Sus scrofa: one gene and its partners. The protein of the gene in region 1 purifies or fractionates together with the protein of each later gene. This does not show direct contact. Links are inferred from orthologs where the notes say so. Each region holds a gene or a part of one and is shown in the gene's direction. Other genes may lie near its edges.

Region 1 (3,513 bases):
AAAGGGTGGCTGGGTGGGCCTCCTGCCCCTGGGGGAACCAAATTAAAAAGAAATGAGGGGGGGAGGGAAAAAAAAAAGAAATGGGCTGACTGAAGTGGCATTTCCGGGCCTGGGGCCTGGGGGAGGGCAGGCTGTGGAATTTATTTAGAAAGCTTGCAAAGCAGCTGGTTATATATATTTTTTTCCTCTCTCTCTCTTTTTTCAAACCTTTCCCGCTTGTTGCTCATGTTCTTTTCAGCGTTATGAGCATGTTTATGGGGCTGTTTGATCCACAAGCAATGTTCCCAAAAGGCAGTGTCCTGAAGTTCCAGAACACAGGATGTGAGCCCAAGAAAGTTGATGATGGTCCATAAAACGGGGGTGGGGTGTTAATTTCCTTCCAGAACCAGAAGCTCAGACCCTTCCTTCCTTCTAGATGTCTCGGGAGGTTGCCCTCCTGACCCCCCCAGCTTCCTAACACCTGTGCATTAGTTCTCAGCAACACAGCCTCTGGCTGGGTTCCTTCCCTTTTGCGGGAAAGGGCCAATGGTTTGACCCAAACTATCTGCAGAATGTTGGGTGCCCCAAGCCCCTCTCTTTTGCCTCCCAAAGCCCTCCCTTCGCAACCACGGCAAACTGCTCTTTGAGGCTTTCTGGCCGCCCGACACTTTTTGCTCTTCTGTTTTTTTTTTTTTTTTTTTTTCCTGTGACTCAGTTTTCATCATACATCGTGGCAGCAGCTCTGGGTCAGCCCTTCCTGAGACAGGAAGGGCCAGTGAGTCTGTGACGTTGCACTCAGAGGTCACCTGGCTGAAGTCTCCTGGGGCCCAGGCCGCAGATGGGGGTGGGGATGGAGCCCCCGCGGGCCGGGAGGGGACAACAGCCAGCCTCAGAGGGGAGCCTGGTAGGGAGGTGTCCTGGGCTGCTGTCTGCACCCTGTCTTGCCTCCTGCCTCTGCCCCTTCCTTTCCTGTTGTGTCAGAGGACACTGACACAGTCATATACCTTAACCGCGCTTCAAAGTCAGTCTCAGTTTGAAACCGTGAACCCGTGTCGCAAAGACGTCCAGGGTCTTGTTAACCCATGTGTGGTTACCCTTCTGTAGCCTGGTAATGCAGACACCCCACTCCGCCCCAACCCGCCCACACCTAGGGGCTTTGCTTCGTGTTTCTGGAACAGCTCTGCCTCGTCTTTGCTGTCCAAGGTTGGGCCTTTCCTCTTCTCTGTAACCTTCCATGGCTCCCGTTGCTCCATAGCATTGCTGTCCCGTAAAACCAGAAAGCAAGCCACACAGGCGATGTAGCACTGTCTGGTACCCACATTTTAAGAAGTAAAAACAGGCACTCCCGTTGTGGCGCGGTGGTTAACGAATCCGACTGGGAACCGTGAGATTGCGGGTTCGATCCCTGGCCTTGCTCAGTGGGTTAAGGATCCGGCGTTGCCGTGAGCTGTGGTGTAGGCCACAGACAAGGCTCAGATCCCTCGTTGCTGTGGCTGTGGTGTAGGCAGGCAGCTATAGCTCCAATTTGACCCCTAGCCTGGGAACCTCCATTTGCCACAGGTGTGGCCCTAAAAAGCAATAATAAAAATAGTAATAGTAATAATAATAATAATAAATTACTTAAATATAATTGAACAATTCAGATCCTCTGTCCATTCCAAGTGCTCAGCAGTCTCGTGGGGCTGCCGGTGACCATATTGGACAGCCCAGACTATCCTTCTGGAAGGTTCCATCAGACAACACAGGCTTACAGAATGAGGTCCGAACATCTCTGAGGGGCTTTTGAAATTTTCAAGCACCCAGCCCCAAGCTATCTAGCATTATTGATTGGTTTTGTTTTTTGCAGATTGATTTTCCTGTGCCTGTCTTTGCCCTGGAAAGCCCCTTCATCTCTTTCCATAGAGGAATCTCCTCTTTGAGGCCGGGCTGGAAGGCTCAGCGTCCCCGCAGGACGCTCCCCTTCTCCCCACAGCAGAATGGACTGCTGCCTCCGATTCTGTGGGTTCTAGAAGAGGAGGTAGCGTGCGTGGGAAGCGGTGGCAGGCCTGTCCGACTGTGATCCACTGTCGTCAAGCCCCGTTTCTCCTGAGACAGGTTTCAGTGGATCGTCTAACACACGGCGGTAGCCCTGCCCCGTTGGAAAAACAGAACCAGACAAAGGACGGCACTGTGTCCTTCGCCAGTGGCCCAGGGGCTGCGGAGCCTGGAACCGCAGACAGGAACACACCCCGGGTCCAGGCGGTGTAATTCTAGGCAGGCACAGCTCTGCCGGGGCAAAAAAAAAAACCTTTTCTTTGCCTTCACAAAAGGACACGTGTGCCTGGCCATTCTGATTCTTATTTTTAAAAATGAGAACTAGGGAGTTCTTGCTGGGGCGCAACAGGATGGGAGGTGTCTGTGCAGCGCCAGGAGGCAGGTTCGATCCCCGGTCCGGCACAGTGGGTTCATGGAGCTGCCATTGCCGTAGCTGCGGTGGAGGTCGTGACTGCGGCTTGGATCTGATCCCGGTCTGGAAACACCACATGTTGCAGCGCGGCCATAAAAGAAAAAAGGCGGGGGGGGGGCGCTAGTTGGTGTGCATGCATCTGTTTGTGTTTACTTTTTAAAAAACCATTGATGTATATACAGAAAAGAACACATGACTTAATTGTGCAACTTGAATTTTCACAAAGTGGACATTCCTCTGTAACCACCCCCAGATGAAGAAGGAGAACATGCCTGGTCCCCCTCAGGCCCCCTTCCCGACTCTGCTTCCCGTCCTAAGACCAGCCCATTTCTTGACTTTTAGCCCCAAGATTCCTTTTACCTTTTGAGCCCCAAGTTTCTGGACATCAGATGCGCGGCATCAAACAGGACATGTTTTTGGCATCTGGCCTGTTTTGCTCCGTATTAACCGTTGTCATCGTTTGTGGTTGGCTTTTGAATGCATTTGTCTTTTACGTCCCCTGGAACACTGTTGGGCAAAACTGCAGTGGTTCATTTAAAAAAAAGAAAAGGAAAGAAAAAACACTAGCTGTGAAAGACAGGTCTTGGTTGGGTGATGGTTTTCAAGTGTGAAAAAAAACCATCTCACATTTGGCTGATGTTTGTTTCCCCTGAGGACTTGCTGATTTTTGTCATGATCTGCCTTTTACGAAAGGAATCTCTGGTTAAGGTTGTAATCCGTGGGTCCGGGAAGGATGCTAACTCCCTCGCTGGCTTTTGGCAAGGCTGGATACAAGTTGTTTCCTCCAATTTTTCTGTTTGGCAGGTAGAAACGAAAGCCAGGGTGGACAAGAGAGAGGGGAAAATAAACTGTTCATTGCATTTCTGATCTGGAATCCTCTGGCTTCGCTTTAGGTACCATGTCTGCTCCAGGAGCCTACCAGGCGGCCGCTGGGCCTTCCTCGGCACCCACCTCGCCCCCGTCCTATGAAGAGACACTGGCCGTAAACAGTTACTACCCCACGCCTCCAGCACCTGTGCCTGGGCCAACCACGGGGCTCATGACTGGCCCGGACGGAAAGGGCATGAATCCTCCTGGGTACTATACCC
Region 2 (4,143 bases), on another chromosome or scaffold:
CTTAACGAAATGACACTTGAGTGTGAATGATGATTCCTGCTATTTCAGTGAAGTCTGGGTGAAGAGACAGAAAGAAGCAAAAAGACATCACCTAGAATTCCCGTTGTGGCTCAGCAGTAATGAACCCGACTGATATCCATGAGGACACGGGTTCAGTCCCTGGCCTTGCTCAGTGGGTTAAGAATCTGGCATTGCTGTGAGCTGTGGTGTAGGCTGGCAGATACAGCTCTGATTGGACCCCTAGCCTGGGAACTTCCATATGCTGCAGGTGCAGCCCGAAAAAGACAAACAAAAACAAAAGCAAAAACCAGACATGGCCTAGTGGCTCTGACACTGACCCCGCAGTTGCTGGAAACAGAACCATCTTTTATTTCCTTGTCTCTTTAATGGTCCGGAGAGTGGGCTTTGGAGACGAGCAGGCTAGACCTGATGGGGATCCTGGTTGCCCTGCATACCAGCTATGGGCTCTGGGGCAAGTTAGTTAACCCTTCTGGTCTCGGCTTCTCATTTGTAAAAATCGGGGTGACAATTATACATCATAGGGTTGCTTTGAGAATAAATGAGATGATGTATTTTTGATATTTAATAAGAAGATAGTGCCTAAAAAGGAAACATGCAATAGGAATGTTTTGTTTTGCTTTTTTTAACTATTTACATGCTTTTACTGTTTTATTCTTTTTTTTTTTTTATCATTGCTGTTATTTTTAGGCCTTAGAGGTTTCCTCGGACATAGACCTTTGTGAGGATGTAGCCTTGATCTACAGGCATGAGGATGCCTTTTTAGCGGAGACTTAGGAACTTTTAAAAATAAAAGTTTATCTAGAAAAATAAATTTAAAAGAAACTGTTTAGAAATATCCTTTCTCGCATTAGAAAAGTGACTTAAACCATTTTCTCCTTCTTATAGGCCTAAATATTAGGTGTAAAATAATATAGCGATCAATCATAGAAAACTTGATTTAGTATATAGAGGATTTTCATAAGAGCAGATTGCTTATATTGTACAACTGATTTGAGTGCATTAAAAAGCATTTTATTCTTTCAGTCTCTTTTTTCATTCGTTGAATTATTTCTGCTCATTTTAAAAGTATTATCTGGGAGTTCCCTGGTGGCTCAGTGAGTTAAGGATCCAGCATTGTCACTGCTGTGGCTCAGGTCCAGTCCCTGGCCCCAGAACTTCCACATGCCTCAGAATAAATCAATAGTAACAATTATTATTTTTGTCCCTTACAGGTAAACCCATCTAATCACAGACTCTTGTTTGAAGTATTTGATGAAAATAGATTGGTAAGTGGTTCCTGATTTTTAATTTTTGCTTCATTTTTTAAAAATTGAATTTTCAGCACATCTTTAAAAAGTCTATATGTGTTTTATTTCTCACAGCATACATGTCCCTCAAAAAGACTATTTTTGTCCCATTACTAGTTTAATGTTCGTAATTCAAACAAATATTTTTGTGTGGGTAGGACAAAATTTATTTGTACCTGTGTAAGTTTTTAATCATAGTTAATATTCATGACCATCACACTGGTGGTATATCAAGCCATATATGCTTATACTCCTCTGTTGGGGATACAAAGAGGTGGGCAAATCTCATTACTCATGGAAATAAACCTTTCAGGATTTTTATATGTAAGCCAGACTTTGAGACTGTGACACGTTCAATAGTGAATCTCTTTGGGATGACAGAAATCTAATTAACAGTATATAGCAAAAAGTGAATCTATATTTAGCAGGTAAAATTAAGCTGTATTTTAAAAGCGGTGCTTTCTCAAGGGAAATTCAAAGAAAGTACCTTCAAAGAACCAGAGGTATGCCTAAGGCATAAAACTAGTACTAATATGTTGTATAGATTATAGGTTAAAAATACTTATATATGGTTGCCTGCATGAGGCAAATTCAAGTTTTGCTTTTTGGAACTTTCTGGAATTTTTTTTCTAGATATTTTTGATTTGCAGTTGGTTGAAACCGTGAATACAGAACCTGCAGATGTGGGGGGGGGAGTCCAACCATGTATTAATTGCTTAAAGGAAATGTTATTATGAATCCTTCCTTCTGCAGAAGTCACCTGAAACTCCAAGTTTTTGAATAGCTTGAGTTTAATAGAATATTTGATCTGGAGGAGGCTTATAATACAACTCATTTAATTCCCTGTCCTTGCATGTGAGAGAACTGAGATCTAGAGCCTTGATGTAATTACATACCTGCCCGTCTATTAAGTCTCAGGCCATTGGTGGTGAATAGCCAGGCCTTAACCCTTAGTATTGAACCTAGGAGTATATTTGATCTCCTATGCCTGGAATTATTCTCCAAATTAGAAAGCAACAGATGCTGGCCTACCATCCTGATATATTTTCTATTCAAATATACGGATTCTCGGCGGCTTTGCATTGAACTTGACATTTTATACCTTGGGTGATGCTTAGTAGTACTGAATAGCTAAATCAGTTTTGCCCGGTGCACGAAGTTATTTTGCTGTTAAATCAAATGAGAAATTCTGCTTGAGGGTGTAGTTCTTGGTGCTCCATCTCCTGTCCAGAAACACCGATTGGGCAGAGTTCAGCAGAGTCCCAGAGTCCACAGATGGAGCCACAGATTAATCCTTACTCTCTCTTTTATTGTGTCTTACAACATTTCTTCAAGGTGAAGAAATGGTCAGCTTTGTGGAAAAAACTGTCTCTTGTCAGATGTGTTTTAACTCATTTAACTCTTCTATTGAAAGAAATTCTCTGTAAAAAATGTTTCCCATTTCCCTTATCTAAAAGAATCACTGTTGTTGAGAGGACCTTGCCATGAGCCTAAAACTTATACTTCCAAGCCGAATAGGGCTTTGAATGCAGAGCTCTAAGAAATCTCATGTGAAACTTTATCTGAAAAACTGTTTTATGTACCTAGCTTTGCCCCAGGCTGTCTGCATCCTTGTTACTATGCGTGAATGCTGCTGCTGGTGGTTTTTTCTTTGTTGGCTATTAATCCAGCAGAGACACTACGTGACTATAGTGGTACTTGGCAGTTTTCACATTAAACAAACTAGCTTCCATTTCTCTCATAGAGATCATTTTTGGCATTTAAAACACATGCCTTTAGAAAACAGGTTTGGATGTATATAAACACAAGGTTAATCCTCCACACTCTGGACTCCAGAGCTGTTGACAAAGTCAACATATATTAAAATAAACTTTTTGTCACTTTTTGCAGCTTGGTATTCCCACATCCCTTCCCTTCTTACTTCCTCCGAAATAAGCCTCTTTGTTAATAACTCGTGTTTCAGGACAATGAAAAAGAGTATGTTTAAAACACTCAGAATATATCCAAGTTAGCTACAAATCCGATGACAGCTTTTTGAACGTGGACTTTCACTTTTATTACTTAGGTCTTTTTTGACCCTTCACAAAAATGTCAAGATTCTATGTTTCCCAACTGGGCTGATATTGCTGGCTTCTTACTGGAAAACAGTCAGCCAGCTCCAGTCAGCCTTTTTTTCCTGCATGGTATTGAAATTAACTTATTACAGAAACCACATGCATACCCTTTAATTTTCCTTCTCCTTTTTTTTGGGGCGGGGGTATTGTTTTCTCTCCTATCTGGCATATGGGAGAGAATGTTTTCTCCAGCTGGGTTCTTTTTCTCTGGTCACTAACATGTCCGAGAATCCTATTATGTGTGAGATGGTGTGCCGCCAGCACCTCCCTCCCCCATCGTTTAAATGAAAAACGTCGTAACCAGAGGCAGACCACTGCTGGGGAGTGTTGTAAGCGGTGCCCCTTTCCACTTAGCTATTTTGTTACTTGTAGGTCATGGTCTAATTATTTAGCATTAAATGGCGGGGTGTGTAATCGTATTTATAGTACGTTTTATTAGTTTGCATTCCATCATGGTAGTGTGGTGATATCATAAATAACAGGGCAACATAACATCCGATTGCTGGAGAAAGGGTTTTCCTGCAGCCCCGGCATTTTTACTCAACAACGTTTGGTTTCGTGGGAAAGGTGGTGGGGTAGGTGGGGGAATACTATGGGCGCTTTTCTGTGTTAGGAGCCGGGTCTCTCTCCTGCATTGGTTGGAGAGTCCCGGGGCCCTGCTTGGTTCAGAAAGAAGTGTCCTGTGAGCGCCAATGCGGTTAGATTTATAGCAGCATGGCTCG
Region 3 (4,036 bases), on another chromosome or scaffold:
GCTTCTTTGCCACAACCCAAGAGCTGCATCTGCACACATCCAGCCTCTGAAGCTTTAGGAGATGCTTATATTCCATTTTCCAGGTGGCGATGTTCTGCTTCTCAGGCTGAGTGGTTGTATTAGTCAAGGTTTTCCAAAGAAACAGAACCAATAGGACACACACCCACACACCTGAGAAAGGGGGAGGGAGCGAGGTAATGAGGCGAGTGTTGATTTATTTTAAGGAATTGGTTTACGTGATAATGGAAGATGGAAAGTCTGAAGAGGCCCTGCTGGCAGGTTGGATATTCAGGCAAGGGTTAATGCATCTGAAATCTGCAGGGCAGCAGGCTGGAAACTCAGGCAAGGCTTCTGTGATACAGCCTTTAGGCAGAATTGCTGCCTTGGGAAGCCTGTCTTTGCGCATAAGGCCTTTAACTGATTGGATGAAGTCCATCACATTATGGAGGGCATTCTGCTTTATTCAGAATTTACTGATTTAAAAGTTAATCATACCTTAACAATAGCTTCACAGCAACATCTAGTTAGGTGTTTGGACTAATAACTGGGCAAAATAGCTAAGCCAAGTCAACATATCCAGTCTAATCTGAAGACATTATCCGTTTCACTCCAGAATATGAAATTCTATAGGATTTGCACAGATTCCTCCCAGATGAAGCCTGCTACCACTCTCCAGCTCTCCTCTCCTTGAGGTTAGGGTTGATGCTCCACTTTTGGCATCTGTTTGCCCCAGGGGCTACATTTTACCCCGTGTTTCCCAGGTTCTGTTATAAAAGTGGCACAGATCCTGTGCAGTCCCAGACCAGAGCCAGTAATGCAAACCATTCAGCCTCACTAGCATTTAAACTCAGACTAGAGTGCTAGGAAGTGCATTTGATTCTCTTACCTTTGTTTCCCTTTGGCTAAAGCCCTCTTTGCAAAATTTTCGAGCATCCTTCTTTTTGTCCAGCTGCAGTATTTTTGATACCTCTTTAGAAGTATTAGCTTGGGGAGTTCCCATTTTGGCTCAGTGGGTTAAGAACCTGACATAGTGTCCGTTAGGATGTGGGTTTCGATCCCTGGCCTCGCTCAGTGGGTTAAGGGTCCAGCATTGCCGCAAGCTGCAGCATAGGTCACAGATGTGGCTTGGATTTGGTATTGCCGTGTCTGTGGCATAGGCCCGCAGTTGCAGCTTGGATTTGACCCCTAACCCAGGAATTTCCATATGCTAGTTGCAGCTGTTAATTAAAAAAAAAAAAAAAAAAAAAAAAAGGAAATAGAAGCTGGATTGGCTACATCCACCATATATCCAACCTCCTCTCTGGTGTTACCTACTGTTTACTTTGTACCCAGCATGAGTTCAGGTGGATCAGAGGAAATAAGAAATGTTTAGTTGTTGTCCTCACCCTCTGGAAGCTTAAAATCTAGTTAGGTGAAACTGATACTTAACAGTGAAGCTTACCAAAGAGAAAACATTTATCATTATTTATTCATTATTTTATAGTAACAACTAAAGGGGATTTCCTTAATAACTGGAAGTTTTAAGCCACAGGCACTAGCAGTTAGATCTCATTGATTAGCTTATTAGAAGTGATTCATCTTTTGAGTCCTCAAATCCCTAACTTAATTCAAGAAGGAAAGCTGGAATTATTTGAAGGCATAGTGAAAAGATTAGGACTCTCCCTTCTGGTAAAAAAAAGAAAGATTTTAAGAGAATATGTACTGAAGCCTGTAATATCATAAAGGAAATAGGTTATGCAAAACCAAAATAGCATAATAATTTTATTATTAAATTTATAATTATACACATTCTAAAACAGTACTATCTCATTCTAGTCAGAAATAGAATTTAGTAAATTCCATATTTCTATTTTGTCCTGCCTTAATTGATTAAAAACAGTGTTTAGAAAATTGTGATTGAGAACAGATCTATCTTGAGTTTTCTTTTTTAAACAAAGTGTGAGTATATGTTTTACATATTTGCTTTCACTTAGGGAAAAAAAACTTACTTAGAAAAATACAACTTGGGTGTAGTACCATGTGGTGTAAACAACTGAACTATTTTGCTTTTTACTTTCCTATGAATGAGCCAGTATATATTTATTACTGGAGTTCCAGCTGTAAAATTCAGGTAAGGGGTTTAAATATACCCTAGAGCATTATTTAAAAATAAATTTGTTTCTTTCAAACAGAATACCAACCTTGGTCTATGACATTTAGGGGAGAAATTAAAATATTAAACTTTTATTACCTAGTAAACTGAAAATAAAGTAAAGGTTAAATAAATACGAAGCAGAAAAAAATACATATACAAAATTGCAACCTCTGAAAGGACAGACAGTCTACTGTTCTCTCCTGTGGGAGCTTTATCAGCAGTAGTAAGTAATTCTGCCTCTAGGGCAGTGCTAGTGCTCAAAAATGTAAACAAGTATGTACTTTGTTTATATAAAGAAATATGCGACATGGTTTGTACTTCTTTATAGGTATCAAACAACTAAATGAATTGTTTCAGTGCACCAGTAGGGGCCAGCAAAGAGCTCCTAGAGTTTTTCGCAACAGAATTGGCATTGAGATATGTTTATTTGATGTGTTAAATCCTTTTTAGACTTCTTTACTTACCACAACACTCTCTTAAGTGAATGAATTGCAGAGACAGTGGAATAAAATATCTTGTGTGCTCAAACTATATTGGGGTATAGTTTTTCTGTCTAATCTGCATATATTTTTAATGGAATGTTTTCTTAGCCTATTTCTTGGCAGAGTTTTAATAGTCCAAATATAAATGGCATCATTTAAAGACTGTACTGCTTGGCTGAAAAGGCCTTAAAATTACAGGAGAAAATGCTTGGTGACAGCTTCTCTCAAAATTTTTTTTTTCTCAGATGTATGCTCAATTTTTGCAATAGATTACTAGGCTAATTTTGTATTTCGATCCTTAAGCTTTCACTTTTTATAAGTACATCGTGTTTTAGAAGCTAAAATATGTATCTATTTGATTTAATGCTAAATTTTTAATTCACCTCAGTTTTGATATTTCCCAGTTTATACAACTGTTTGAACTTACTCATTTAAAAAAAATTAACAGTCTATATTCCTTTCTACATTTACTAAGTTGACTAGATTCCAGTATGACCACTATTTGGAAATTCAATCCTTGATTTGATACTCAATTACATGGGGTTTCATTCCTACCAACTTCCTGTAATTCTATCCCTATGGGTAAAAATATTAGTGGTCAAACTGCTGGAGAAAGTATAGGCACCGTGATTCACATAGTTAAATGTTCATTTAGTAGAGCTGGAGTGAAAAATACTGTTTCAACTTGAAATGCTAGAAGATTGTTGTTCTTGTGTTACTCATTCATGCAAATTGGAGAAGGTATAATTGAAACAAGGTTGGCAGTGTTTGAGGCAGTGTGCTGCAGCTGAGCTCAGCTTAAAGGTCGCTGGAAATCAAGTGCTTTGTAAGTGAAGGCATTTTGACTACAAGCGATTCAAGACATTTTGGAAACGTCAGTCGTCAGTCTCGGGAATGGGCCGTCTTTTTCTTTCTACGATATCTGGTCTCTAAGGTTTTACTCAGGATAAAGACCACTACTTACGAGCTCTTTTAGGCACCACAAATGATTTTTTCTTTCGATGCAGTGCAGCTGCTTCTAGCCTGTCTACCGACAGAGATCTTTGTTATGACTTTCAGCCCTTAACATGTTTGGAAATGAGAACAAATGGCACAAAGCTTACGATTGCACTTTGCAGCCAGAAGAAGCAATACTTACCCTTTGTCAGAAACCTCTGGAGATGATTTGGATAGCAGTATTCACATGTGCTTCACAAGACCAACACGGATTTCAACCTCTAACGTGGTTCAAATGAAGCTGACTCCCAGACAAACTGCACTAGCTCCGTTAATAAAGGAAAACGTTAAGTCTCAGGAAAGATCATCTGTTCCTTCACCTGAAAATGTTAATAAAAAGAGCAGCTGTCTGCAGATTTCACTCCAGCCAACAAGGTACAGTGGATGTCTTCAGTCTAGCCATGTCTTAGCTGGCAGTGATGAT

Evidence for each region.
Region 2: the proteins of LITAF (region 1) and NEDD4L purify together in Homo sapiens (affinity purification with western blotting; 3 studies listed by BioGRID and IntAct, counting the BioPlex papers as one, with this or other methods). This does not show direct contact. The link is inferred for Sus scrofa from reciprocal best matches to the Homo sapiens genes LITAF and NEDD4L.
Region 3: the proteins of LITAF (region 1) and NEDD4 purify together in Homo sapiens (co-immunoprecipitation; 4 studies listed by BioGRID and IntAct, counting the BioPlex papers as one, with this or other methods). This does not show direct contact. The link is inferred for Sus scrofa from reciprocal best matches to the Homo sapiens genes LITAF and NEDD4.

What each region holds. Positions count from the first base shown.
Region 1 is NC_010445.4:31,562,603-31,566,115, forward strand, and holds part of LITAF (lipopolysaccharide-induced tumor necrosis factor-alpha factor), read left to right. Parts: intron 1-3,318; 5' UTR 3,319-3,323; coding exon 3,324-3,513.
Region 2 is NC_010443.5:162,514,012-162,518,154, reverse strand, and holds the start of NEDD4L (E3 ubiquitin-protein ligase NEDD4-like), read left to right. Parts: upstream 1-1,335; 5' UTR 1,336-4,143. UniProt on the Homo sapiens protein: E3 ubiquitin-protein ligase that mediates the polyubiquitination of lysine and cysteine residues on target proteins and is thereby implicated in the regulation of various signaling pathways including autophagy, innate immunity or DNA repair.
Region 3 is NC_010443.5:115,988,979-115,993,014, forward strand, and holds the start of NEDD4 (E3 ubiquitin-protein ligase NEDD4), read left to right. Parts: upstream 1-1,228; 5' UTR 1,229-3,703; coding exon 3,704-4,036. UniProt on the Homo sapiens protein: E3 ubiquitin-protein ligase which accepts ubiquitin from an E2 ubiquitin-conjugating enzyme in the form of a thioester and then directly transfers the ubiquitin to targeted substrates. Specifically ubiquitinates 'Lys-63' in target proteins.